Mytilus edulis: one gene and its partner. The protein of the gene in region 2 purifies or fractionates together with the protein of the main gene of each other region. This does not show direct contact. Links are inferred from orthologs where the notes say so. Each region holds a gene or a part of one and is shown on either strand. Other genes may lie near its edges.

The links. The genes of interacting proteins can lie anywhere in the genome.
Region 1: the proteins of leucine-rich repeat and calponin homology domain-containing protein 2-like (region 2) and dual specificity tyrosine-phosphorylation-regulated kinase 1B-like purify together in Homo sapiens (affinity purification with mass spectrometry; 3 studies listed by BioGRID and IntAct, counting the BioPlex papers as one, with this or other methods). This does not show direct contact. The link is inferred for Mytilus edulis from reciprocal best matches to the Homo sapiens genes LRCH3 and DYRK1A.

What each region holds. Positions count from the first base shown.
Region 1 is NC_092348.1:79,382,736-79,389,864, reverse strand, and holds the start of dual specificity tyrosine-phosphorylation-regulated kinase 1B-like, read right to left. Parts: upstream 3,050-7,129; 5' UTR 2,472-3,049; coding exon 2,339-2,471; intron 1-2,338. UniProt on the Homo sapiens protein: Dual-specificity kinase which possesses both serine/threonine and tyrosine kinase activities. Exhibits a substrate preference for proline at position P+1 and arginine at position P-3.
Region 2 is NC_092346.1:79,333,794-79,341,125, forward strand, and holds the start of leucine-rich repeat and calponin homology domain-containing protein 2-like, read left to right. Parts: upstream 1-4,293; 5' UTR 4,294-4,357; coding exon 4,358-4,526; intron 4,527-7,332. UniProt on the Homo sapiens protein: As part of the DISP complex, may regulate the association of septins with actin and thereby regulate the actin cytoskeleton.

The DNA of each region.
Region 1 (7,129 bases), on a different chromosome or scaffold from region 2:
TTTCATGGACTAACATTAAAGGCCCTTCAATTAGTTCAATATCTGGTTTTACTTAATATAAACTACAATCATGAACACAACTACCAACAGATGTCTTAGGGGGTAATGACATTTGTACACTTAAACCACCATTAAAAACAATACATATACATGCAAAATAAGTCAAACACTTATCCAATAAAAGTAGACTGATCTAAGAGACCGGCAAGATTAAATCCAAAAAAAGATTCAATTTATTTCATAAAGTGCAGTCAGAGCATTTGATTCAGTTGATCAAACTTATGTTTGAGACTGATCTATTATTCTAAGGAAAAATATAAAGACATATATAGATATAAGATGTGGCATGAGTGCCAATGAGACAACTCTCCTTTCAAGTCACATTTTGCAAAAAGTAAACTTATATATATATATTGGGTCTGAAATGATATCGAAATAAAAGTGTGTAAAATAAAAGTTATGGGCAATATGAGGTAATAAACAGCTGGTAATAAATGCGTAAAACTTTGCTTCATGTTTTCTTGATAAGAATCAATTGGAGCTAGTTCTGTGCTTTTTACTTTTACTATCAATGTAATACAATGTACCTCTAGACTAATGGTTCCCAAATGAAAGGTATTATACTCCAGTAGTCAAGGTTTTTGAACTTGGCAATTAATATAATCATTATATAATGTAGAGTATTTTGAAGATTTATAAAAACTTAGGAAAATGTATATGATGTTCGAAGAGAATTTCTGGTGCTAAAAATACAAAATTTGATGGTCCTGATCATGTCATTTATTCAATCAGAAAAAAAATAGGTAAGAGTTTTTGAAAACATTCACATTTTATTATGTTTTGATCTATTTAGTCCAAAAGAGGAACTTTTAAAACCATTTCCAGATCATGTAGTGGACATAAAGTTTTGCATGTGATTGTTTATTCAAAATCAATAATTTGTCCAGCAATGTTTGTACAGTGCAAGATAATGAAGGGATTATACTATAGGCTCTTTATGATCTTGCAATTAAAAAGTCAATCTAACTGCATTATTTATTTGTCAACCAGTCTGCAGCTTTATTAGGTATAAAGACAGAAAAGGTCTTAATAACAATACCTGACCTTAAATTCTTGAGTTTACATAATATATCAAAATTACATTCTTGTTTATCTCTAATAAAGACAGGATATTTCCTGGTTCTACATTCCTTACATGCCATACATATTCAGATGTCTTCCATCATATTGTTTACAGCTGGCTACACATGAATGAGCACTGAGTTTCCCACAATACAAATTATAAACTTAATTTAACTACTTTGTACATAATTTAAGTGAAATCACAAAGAAAATACAATGTTTTCACATGGGAAATTTCATGGCTCCTTTGATAAAGATTGACCAAGCATTCATTACTTCATCTATGGCCAATTGTAGGTAGTTATTTCAGTTCAATGGTCAAATTTAAATCTTCAGCAGTTTAAAAAGGTCATTCAGATTTGTATTTTGAATTCAGTGTCTCCTTACTTTACATTACTGATGTTCAAAAGAAGCCAGATTATTCAAGTATTGTAGACTGACATTCTTTAAACATGTGTATTGTCTTACTCTTGACTAATGAACTGAAACATTCAAATTGAAATATGAACAGTAAAAGTTAAATTTTAAGGTTTAAAATTGATTGTCTAGACAAGAAAACAAAAATAATGCCTGGATAACATTATATCTATTGCAAAAAAGTATTGATGTACTATCTGACATCAGAGCATCCCAACTAAAGTATGTGTGGTATGTTACCAGTCATATATACACAGCTGGTACATGAATCAGCTGACTGAGGAGGTCCCCCACAGGGCAACTTATATTCTATGTTACAATTAAAATCCCTGGGGTCAATCAGATGAAATAAATATTTGTCAGGGGAGTTTTCTGTCATATACAAGAATTTGACAACTTGTGTCTGCTGTCAATCTTGAATGGATTGAAGGGTGTTGTTGTTTATGTATTTGTTTTTGTCATTATGTATGATGATTAATAGATAAGTAAGTTCTCCTTACTTATCCCCTAAGATGAGGTAACTATTTATCTTAATCTAGATACCTGATTTCCTAAATACAAAAGATCAGAACTGATAATATAATGAGAAATTTACACTTTTTGATCTCCCATTAAAAATTTGTATGGTCCCATTCAGAAAAGATATTGGTCACTTTACAGAGGCTATTTAATTCAAAATCTTGGTCAAGGACACCTACATAGGTATGACTGTACATCTAACATGCATACCCTACAAGTGATGTATAAACCATTAACACAAAAAGAATAGTAATGAAATAGAGAAGTTTTGTATACTAACGTTTGAGACGCATGGCTTGTAAATGGTACTCCTGTTCCTGTCTTAGCCAGTGCCCACGGTTTGACAACATACGATCATCCATGGCACTATCCATGACCAATAATTTGTTTTCACCACTTTCCTCATGAACCATTAGAATTAAATTTTATATCCTTACTTGTCCTGTCAAAGTATGTCAATGTTTTCCTGATGCAGACAAACAATTTTTTTCACTAATTATATGCAACTTTTAAAACATGCCAGTCCTGATATATCCATATGAACACAAAATGCATCAGATATGTTTTATATAATATCTTGATTTGTTGAGAACACCAAAGAAGTAGTATTGCACAGTGTAAATATCAATAAACTCTATAAAATATCAACAATAATAACAAATAAACAAACTATTGCAAGGATCCCAGGCCTTCACTTAAAATCCATCATAAAGGAAGTAAGACCATATTATGGTGCTGTGAACTCAAATGACCTCCATGGTAGACAGTCAAATTATTCACATCCTTAATGAGCCCTTTTTGCACAAGAAAATAATCCATAACAAATAATGGTCCAATACAGGGCAATGAAGGTGTTAAATTAAGGACACTTCAGGTCACTTTATGTCCCTGTAAAATTTACAGCAAAGCACCTGACAACACAGTGACAGAGGAGCCATAATTGGATCAAAGATGATATGTGCCTGAGGTTACTGACTGTTATCAGCCAATCAGATTCCTTCTTACATCCATTATCTGGATGTAAAATGTTGTCTGGTCAATATGTAATGAGAAGTCTAGAGGAGATATAGAGGCTCCCTAAGGGTGTGTGACATTATGTAATAACCATTTTTCCAGTTAATTTACTTAGGAAAGCTGTTAAGATGCTCTGATATATAAATAAAATGTAAACATTTTGTTTAGAAATAGTTTGAATAACACTTATCAGGTATTTATAACAAATTTGAATATTTTGTTAGATAACGAATAAATAATTATTTACAATATTTTGATAATCAACAGCTCATGCGATTTGAATTTTATGAACTAAAAGGAGGTATGTATAAGTACCAGTACCTAAAAAAAAGTTTCTATAAATATATTTAATATAAGCAAACAGCAAATGAAACACAAAACTCTGAATTAATCTAATGGGGATCTCTAGAAGTGTTTTTCTTTTCTTTATTATGGTTGGGCTAAAAAAAGGAGGGTACATGTAGGTACAGATTTTTTTTTATTTTACCATTTTTGTTTCATTGAGTGTATGGGATGGACATTCTGACTTTAATAGTGCTCATTGAAAAATGACCCAAAAAACTTTAAGGTAGGCTATTTTTTATTTTTGATAATAGGGAAGGTAGGGTAAAAGGAAACACAACTTTTTTTATTTGGCCTTGGTGGTCTGCTTTCTCCTTTTTAGAAAGGATTCCTTTGGATTTTGTTTAAGAAAAAAAAGTAAATATATTTTATTTAACTCCAATTCAGTACTTCATATATTTCTAGCTCCAAATTTTTTAGAGCTTTCTATTATGTATAATTGTATATCAAAAATTCTAATTGAAAAAAATTAATTGTGGATTTTTCAGAAGCAATTCGAAAAATATTCCATCAAAACCAGTTATAAAACAATTCTAAATTGTTCTTACCCCCTATGCAATGCAATAATAGGAAAAATTTGAAGATACAATGTACATTCTTTAAAACTTTTTGGGGTAACAAAAAATTACATGTGTAATTCCAGTTTAGTCCTACAAAAAGGGGACATTGGGTGTGCATTTTTTTTATTGTCAAAAATCAGTTCAATTATTTCACATGCGCCTGTTGGAGGTAACAATTTATAGCTAAATAGAAATTTCAGTTGCCAAAAATCTGCAAATTAATTATTGAAATTCACATTCAACAAAATGGGATCATTTAACAATTATTTTTTCCGAAATGGATTCTTTTGCTTTTCTATTGGCAAATTAAGTTTCTCCCCCTGGCTTTTCAAATCTGCAATTAAATAAATGGGAATTGTGTCCATGGGACACAGAAGATCCCCCCACTTATCTTATAAAGTTACAAAGGGAAATAACTGAAGAAAAATAAAAGTGATGCTACCCAAATGTGTACTTGATCTGAGTTTCAGAGGCGGATCCAGGGGGGGGGGGGGGGGGGTTCCGGGGGTGCGCACCCCCCCTTTATTTTTGCCGATCAATGCATTTGTATCGGGACATATGTTTTGCACCCCCCCTTTGCCCTGGGTTAGCACACCCCCTTTCGAAAATTCCTGCATCCGCCCCCGAGTTTTGAGGTAATAGTATTAGTGTTTCCTACAGGTGGTTTTGGCGTGTAATGGCGCCCTGTTGTGAATAAGTTTCATAACATTTGGTAGAGGTGAACTCAAGATAGAAAAGGTAAACAAAAAATCAGCAATGTTTCAATCAATATTATAAACAAGCATAACTCTAGAACAGTAAAAGTGACATCATCAAATTCAAACTTGATGTGCATTTTAAAGTTAAAAGCATTGTGTATATGTTTCGTAGCATTTGGTTGAGGCAAACTAAAGTAAGAGAACGCAGAATTCTCCATTTGTACAGGAGCATAACTCTAGAATGGTTGAAAGTGACACCACCAAAATGCAAACTTGATCTGTGTTTTGTGGTAATAAGCATAGTGTATAAGTTTCATAACATTTGGTAGAGGCAAACTAAAGTTGGAGAACAAAAACGAAAAAAATTCAGCAATTTTTCCATTTGCAAAGGGATATATACCTTTAGAATGGTTAAAATGATGACACCAAAATTCAAATTTGATCTGTGTTTTGTGGTTGAATCTGTAATAAGCACTGCATATAAAATTATATAACATATGGTTGAGCAGGGTTTGAAATTAGCATAGATGCCAACCCCCTTTTGACACAATCAGTAACAAACTATCAAATTTTCCGTATTTTTGAAAAGTTTTCAGTAATCATTTATATTAAACGTGCATTTACCAATCAAAATTACTGACGAGTGGTTGCAAAGTGATGTACACTAAAATTTGTCATTTAACATGTTGTCTGTAGTATGTATTCCATTCATTAATTGTTCAGATGCTCTCGACTCAAACATTTTTGTTTTGTCAAGGAGAAGTAGAGAAAGGGAAAAAGCTACTTAATAAAATGCAAGTTTGACTCTTCGGAAGTCAATTAGTTACCCAACAATAGGTTGATAACTCCCGAGAAACCGGAAGCATTAGATTGGCGTTTCCTAAATACTGGACCCGGACGGAAAAGTAATGATAAAAATCCGCGTTTTACAAAATTGAACGTCGGTGATTGGGAATCCGTAACTATTCGACTTTGACCGTAATAGCGTAGTTTATATCGCAAAATCGGAAAAACTACGGAAAAATCGTAATAGTTGGCATCTATGAATTAACAGGGGCCCACTTGCCAATGGCCCCTACAATTTAGTGTGCCAGGGCTCCTAAAGTTTCTGCTTTTCTTGTATTTAACTGTATATATTGGCTACCATTGCCAAACTTTAACGGAAACCACTGTGGTTGAGGCAAACTAAAGTGAAAGATCGCAAACCAACTTTGGGACAAGGAGAAAACATAATGCTCCTCCGCTACTGCAGGGGCATGAAATAAGTGTTTTGTAAAATAGACTTCTTATAATGAACAGAAGTAAACAATGAATTTCAGATTAACAGAAAACTGGATGTTTTAACATATTTTATTTGTGTCCTGGCATTTTTCAATATCACAAGAATCAAAACTCCTGAATGGTAAAAGTGACATGTACAATCATCAATATTTGACTTCAACTTGACCTTCATTTTTCACAAGTTACAACATATATTAAAATTTTAAAAGCTTTGATTGAATGGTTCATGAGTTAAAGCATGATCATGACTGCAAACACCATTTTTCAATCTGTCAAGAAACAACTCCTGAACGGTGAAAGTAAAAATCGTCAATATCAAACTTGACATCCATTTTGTCATCAGAATCATTACAACATACAAGATGTGAGAAGCTTTGGTAGAACAGTTCATGAGAAAATGCATGGACACCGTTTGGCAGTCACCTGCCTCGATGTTGCAAGAATAAATTAGAACTTTTAGTTGGCAGCTTATAAAAAATTTAGTGTTCTTGTTAGAACTGCTATACATTTGTCATGTTGGGCCTTTCACAGCTTGCAATGTGGTATGAATTTCTCTGAATATTTACAAATTGAAAGTACCACCTACAAACATCAGTCAACACTAGATATTTACAAAACCTCAGGGTTGCTAATAATTGACTAATTCCTTGTTGTGTCTGTTTGGGTTAATCAACCAATTTTGTTAATATATGGGAACTTAGTATGAAGATCTCTCATACAAGTGGGAGGTAAAGCTAGCTATAAAGCAATGGTTAACCTACCATTTTCTTCTGGAATACATCTGTGCCAAAGTTATTAATATGATATTTGTTTTCCACTCGATACATGTATGATAGATAATATCGTTTGATTGTCAGTTTGTATGGACCTTCCTTATATAATTTAAAAGTTTTTAGGTTTACCTGGAGGTTAAAGTTTTTGCTTATTTTTTACATTGTAAGGTCATTCATGACCTGACGAAAAAATTCTAGCTATTACATCATTTGATCTCTAATGAAGAGTTGTCTCACTGGCAATCATACATCTTTTTATTTTTCTATATCCACTGCATGATCTAAAAGAAAAGTCTGACAACTCTGAAATGACCCATTGGATATCTAAATAAAAGAAATATCTCTTTCTTTATTTCAATTACAACAACTTAAGCCAAGATTTAAAAAAATTGTTGGTTTAAGG
Region 2 (7,332 bases):
CATTCAAATGTCTAGAATGGTTTATTTTCATTAGATTTGTCTTCTATAAAATGACATATAAATCATCAAATATTCAGTTATCTTCAAGTCAGTTGAAAAATAATGGTTTAAACTTTCATAATTTACTGCCATTAAAACCCTTTCCTCTCAATAAAACAAATCATCAGGTTAAAAGTATAAATGCATTGCGAAAAAACAAATGTTTCATCAATGAAATTCAAGTCAGATATTCTCATGAATATCCTTTTTATATTAGATACAATTTTTTTCAAGTCTGATAAAGTTTTGTCGTAGGCAATATATTTGAACTGAGGCACTACACAGGCGTTGAAAGGCGTCATTATGGAGGAAAGATTTAAAAAACAAGGCATTTTTCTAACATTTTAAATTTGCATTGTAATTCCTGATCACAGGAAATAGCTGATCAATTTTTTAAAACAATACAATATTTTGCCAGTTATTTTTATTTTCTTAATCTGTGGAATAAAACATGACTATTTTGCAATTTTCTCAACATGTTTTAGTTCAAGACTGAATACACTTTCAATAGAAAAAATAAAGGCCCTTAAAACACACTTTTGGTATGAAATAAAGACTTAAACATAGTCATTATACATGCATGAAGATTAAAGAACAGTTTTTTTTGTCAACTATGTATAAATAAACAGTTCTTAGAATATTTCAGAGTTAAATAATATAATGGAAATGCTGTTAATATATACCTTTTATAAAATAAAGCTTACACATCAACATACAAAATTAACATCGAGTGAAAGGTTAACAAAATATATATCATCTAAGAAATGTGATGAAAAAAAATAATAATGTACAAAATTTAAATCATGTTATAAATGTACAAATTTCATGAATTGGAAACTAGTCATTTTACAGCTTAATATTATACAGAGTTATTTTGTCCCCTAGATCCAAGAGATATATGTTTGACAAATTTCTTGGTTTCTTTTTACTGCATCTATAAAGAGCAGCATGAAAAAGAATATGGTTTGTCATAGAAATTTACACATGGCATATTTTTTACATTAGTGACCATAAAACTGAATGAATAGAAACAAAAGTGATGCTGTCAATTATTGGAGTTTAAACTGTATCTATGTAGATTCAAAGAAGATTTTTTTTTTAAAAGCAGATTGCCTATAGTAGCAAAATTATCACAGAAAAAAACTTATACATTGTTTATATTGATAAACATTTACAAACATTATTGAACTAAGGTCATGCTTCATATGCTTTTAAAAAAAAATCATTATTTTACGAAATATCAGCGAAATGTTGCTACTTTTTTGTTCTGGTTTGAAATAAAAGTATGTTGAAGTAATAGTTGGGCCAAGAAAATGTTTTGATAATTTTTTTGGGATTGTATTATTTTAAGTGAACTGTTATGGCGTATTTGATCCATACTTCAATTAGTATGGTGTCGGCAATCATTATGATGTTGAAATTTTAAAATGGGGAAACATTTTCTCCACAAAAACTCATAAAATAAATGTGATAACTTAAATTTTGTGTTGTTTTCAGTCATATTATTACTAGATAATAGATTGTCCTGTAATTATTAGAAATAAATTTGTCATATTCATAGATATAAGAAGATGAGGTATGAGTGCCAATGAGACAACTCTCCATCCAAGTCACAATTTATAAAAGTAAACCATTATATGTCAAAGTACTGTCTCAACACGAAGCTTTGGCTCACACCAAACAGCAAGTTATAAAGGGCCCCAAAAAATAATTAGTGTAAAACCATTCAGACGGGAAAACCAGCAATCTATATAAAAAACAAGAAACGAAAAACAATTATGAATCACATCAACAAACCACAACTACAGAACATAAGAAACCTGACTTACGACAGGTGCAATCAATTGCCGCAGGTTTAAATGTTTGAATGGTACCAAACCTAAACCTGGCTCACACCGAACAGCATTAAGCTATATAAATTATCAAAGGTACCAGGATTATAATTTAATATGCAAGACGCATACATGAGACTCATCAGTGACACTCAAAATAGTTAAAAAGCCAAACGGGTACAAAGTTGAAGAGCATTGAGGACCCAAAATTCAAAAAAGTTGTGCCAAATACGGCTAAGGTAATCTATTCATGGAATTAGAAAATCCTTTTTTTTTCTCGAAAAATTCAAAGTTTTGTAACAGGAAATTTATAAATATGGCCATATATATCTTGTCAACACCGAAGTGCTGACTACTGGGCTTGTGATACCCTGTGGGACGAAACGTCCACCAGCAGTGGCATCGACCCAGTGGTGTAAATAGTCATCAAAGGTACCAGGATTATAATTTTATCCCCAGACGCGTCTCCTCTACATACGACTCATCAGTGACACTAATATATATAAGCCAAATGACGTCTTCAACACCAAGCCTTGGCTCACACTGAACAGAATTAAGCTATATAAGCCAAAGTACGTCCTTCAACACGAAGCCTTGGCTCACACCGAACAGCAAGCTATAAAGAGCCCCAAAATGACTTGTGTAAACCTATTCAAACAGGAAAACCAACAGTCTAATCTATATTTAAAAAAAACGAGAAGCGTGTATGAACCTCACCAACAAATGACCACCATTGAACAACATGTTCTTATCTATTGGTAATGTTGTTCCACAGAGTAATTGCTATTTGACAGTTTGATTATTTGGAGTCTGGTACTTACCTGGGTGCCATCATCATGGTATTCATGGCCATATATATCTTGTCAACACCGAAGTGCTGACTACTGGGCTTGTGATACCCTGTGGGACGAAACGTCCACCAGCAGTGGCATCGACCCAGTGGTGTAAATAGTCATCAAAGGTACCAGGATTATAATTTTATCCCCAGACGCGTCTCCTCTACATACGACTCATCAGTGACACTAATATATATAAGCCAAAGTACGTCTTCAACACCAAGCCTTGGCTCACACTGAACAGAATTAAGCTATATAAGCCAAAGTACGTCCTTCAACACGAAGCCTTGGCTCACACCGAACAGCAAGCTATAAAAGGCCCCAAAATGACTTGTGTAAACCTATTCAAACAGGAAAACCAACGGTCTAATCTATATTTAATTGAGTGTCTTCTGAATAGTGTGGTAATTGTCCAAATTCCAAATGATGATTTTGATTGAAAAAAAGTGGTCTTTGAATTTTTTGAAATGTTCAGATATATCAGCTTGGATAATTTGCTTCAGCTTAGAAAGCTCTGATTTCGAGAAGCTTGGGGTTTCTGCAATTACTTTTTGAATCAGCTGATACAATAAGAATAACAATGTAAAAAAAACTTAAATTAGCTTAATCGATCCTTTGATGGTATGTTCTGTAATGCAAAATATGCATTTTTTATAGATTTTTAATGATAACTTGGATTGCATTTTTTCTAACACAAACCATGCAAACGGCTAAGCGTGCATGTGTTTTGATCATTTCTTTCAAACATATGTTTGTAAAGTTTGCATAAACTTTGACAAACTAGGCAAACGATAAAAATGCGTCTGCAGTTAGTTGTTTGTTAGGACACACACTACATTTGTTTCTTACTTCAATCTGATTAAACGAAGTATTTGTTTCTATGCGTTTGTAGAAAGTCTGTTTACCAACAACATGTGCATGCCTTATTGAAGTTCAAACAGGGTCAGTAAAGACTTATTAAACGATGTATTTGTTTCTACTTTTGTAGCGTTTAGAAAACAACAACAAACGCGACACAACATTTACAAAAAGAAATGCGGCCTTCATATTGAAATTTTATTGATCTTGAAAACTTTATTTGAATTCGGCATGATATCAAACAATGAAACCGATTTGACTGAATATGAAAACCTGAGACTACTATAACACATATACCACATAGTGTTATAGTAGTCTCAGATGAAAACATATAAAAAAATGTTTCAAAACATGATGTACATATAACACATAAAGCGATGAATTATCTAAAAAGTAAGGTTTCTGTGAAAGTTTACAAGGAACTGCTGTCTCTCACTGAATCCTAAACATGAGATTTCTAACAAGACTAAACAGAAGGATGTCTGGTATTATTATGTCCCCTTTTTTATAAATGCAACACACTGGGACAATAAAATTATAAGAAATTTACTGATAGAAAAGCTGATAATGAAACTAAACAATTTAAATTGCAAGCTGGTTATGATACAAATAGAAAAAAATATTCCAAGTAAAAAGTAGATACTGTATAATTAAATTATAATAAAAGTATAACTTTTAGTAAGTTGTGCTTTTTGTGAAAGCTTTTACTTTTTTCTATACAGGGAACCAGTGTAAAATTTATGTTAAAGTCGTGCGCTTGCGCATAATCTGAATCCAACATGAAAGTACAAAATGGCGACAACATTCAGCACCGGAACACAGAGCCCAACATCACATAAACCCCTAGAAAAGATTTTCGACGAAGCTCAGTCAACCGGGGCAGTGTGTTTATGTGGCAGAAAATTAAGAGAATATCCAAAGATCTCGTCTAGATATGATTTAGTTGATACAATCTCTGCTGGTGAGTGCCCCTTCGACTTCCCCAGTCAACCAGTGTTTACAAAATTATGTTGGTTTATTGTAGTAAAAAGTTGTCAACCAGCGTATTTTGTATATTGCTAAGCAAATATCATCTTCGTCCCCTCTCATGTCCATGAATTTATATGTTATGGTTATACACACTAAATCCAAATTTCCTTGACAGTCTGGACGTTCCATGATACTGATAGTTGATATCATAATATAATTTTTGGAGTATTTCAAATTGTCTTACTGCAAAATTATTTTATTATTATTTAACTTATATTCATACATGTGAATTTTTGCTGTAGCCTGTTTTATCAGTTAAAAGAAAAACTAGCCACACTGAAACAGGTTTCCCATAAAAGGCTCAATATATAGTGGCCATCAATAAGGCTTTGGAGCACAGCTAAGGTTGAGTCTTGAGAGAGTGGTTTCTCAAGTAAAGCGTATCAAATATAATCATAGATATAGGCTTAAGCAATCAACAACTGACATTATCAAGATGCTTTATTTCTTGATTGACAACATATTTGTGACATTTGGAGAACTTGTTTTTCAACAAACTATCAGGGCCTTTTATAGCTGACTATGCGGTATGGGCTTTGCACAATGTTGAATGCTGTACAATGACCTATAGTTATTAATTTCTGTGTCATTTTGGTCTCTCATGGGGAGTTTTCTCATTGGCAATCATACCACATCTTCTTTTTTTATATCTGCATTCAGATGGGAACTAACTGTGCCCCTCTTCTTGTCGACTTGTTCCTGTACAGGAATTTCTTAAGAAGTTAGAATTATCCTTTAACTTTACTTTCTGATGGAAAGATGATGTGGAAGCAGGAAAAATTGCTGCTTTTTCACCAACTCGTCCCACTTTAAAAAAAATCGGAACACTTGTGAAAAGGGTTGCATGTACATCCCGTAAATTTTTCTCCTGCCAACTTGCCCCACTTAAAGGGGCACTAGCTAGGAGATATATAAAAAATCTTATACATTATTATTTTTGCACAATCATTAGTGAAATGCAAATAGTGAAATAAGATTTCACTTTTAGCACCCAGTATGTACATGTATGGTTCAATTTTGTCAAAATAAGCGACAAAAACATTAATTAATAAGTGATGAATGTGTCAGCGAGTGTGTTTAGCTTGGGTCGGCGTTTTCAATCTCCAAGTCACAATGGAAGAGCGTATATAAATGAAGACTTTCATGACTTTAGAATTGAATTTAAGTCATCAAAATAAAACTATGCCTTTACAGAAATGCCTTCCATCTCAACTTGTTAGCGACAAGCACAGTTTTTAATTAACCCAAAGGTGGTGGAAATTGATTTTGGAGTTACTTCCCCTGTTTTAGCTTATTACAAATTTGTGCTCTAAAAATATTATCTAGTATCAAAAAAAGGAATAAATTACCAATTGAATATATAATAACATAATAATGTTACCTTAAAGATATTAACTGTCTTTGAACATATTAAAAAATATATATTGCAATTTCTACTTGATAATTATACTTTTAGCAATCCATGTTCTAAACATTGTTAAATTAGTAAGGCTTTCAAGTTCATTTCTTACCGACCGTGCCAGGGCTGTATAGCCAGTCAAGGTCGTTAAACACCACCATATATATATCAGTTCATATGATGTATTAAAAGCTATAATTTCTATATAGATAAAAAAAAAACAAAAAAAAAAACACATATTCTTTGATAATGGGTAGAGTGAAGTTAAACTGTAAAAACATGATATGTTGATGAAGATGTACTATATCATTCATAACTACACAAACAATGAAATAAAGACTATAGTTGAAAAGCATCTTTATTTAAAAAAAACAACATATACAGTAAAAAAAAAAAAAGAGATTCGTTAACTCGTGATACACACAGAAACGTAGACAAAAAAAATGAGCAGTGCCTTTTCTTATCATAAAAAGTGCCCTGCCCTCCACTGGCACCCTGCCCCTTTTGATTTCTAGCTAGAGCACTGATTATGAATTATCCACTTGCAAGTGAATAATTCAACCTCATTAAATCGGTTTTAATGTGAGCTTCAACTAAACCCCTTAGCTTGAGATGGATAACATGTGAATTGTATGTGTAAAGTTATTTAAAGGAAAAGAATGTCAACATTGAAAGTGAAACAAAGGTAAATCATTTGATTGACTGATTAGATTCACAAAAAAGTCATTGTTACACAGGTAAAAACAATGATAAACATTTATTTTATCATGTGAAATTAAATAGACCTAGAAAAATCCAGCAACATGAGTTTGCTAATTTATTTATATCTATAATATATATATATGTTTACATCGCTTATATGGTCATCAGATGACTTTAGAGGTCAACTCAATAGTTAAGATGGTACCTAACACTACAGGGAGATAACTCTGTAAAATCAGCAAAACTTTTTGATTACATTGTGTGGTTAATGTAATATTAAGCTTCTCAATGATCAGAATAAGTTTTTGACAAACTGCAATACAACAAGTGTATTTTTTCTGATTAAATGGTTGGTTCAAATTTTTATACCTTTGTCAAAGGGTCAAAGTAAACACTATGTTAGAATTGAAATAAAGTTAAACGAGCCAAATTATTTTAGGCCGTGTTCACACCAAACACCGTGTAGAGTAAACATGTTTACAATTAGTTTAGTGTAGTGTGCACTGGTTTCACATTACATTTGTTCACATCTATACACCTTGTTTAGCTACCTGTACATAAGATTTGTTCTCACTTGTAAACTATGTGTCATTTAAATGTTCATTACGTAGAACTGAATTCAAAATTTTGGGACAAT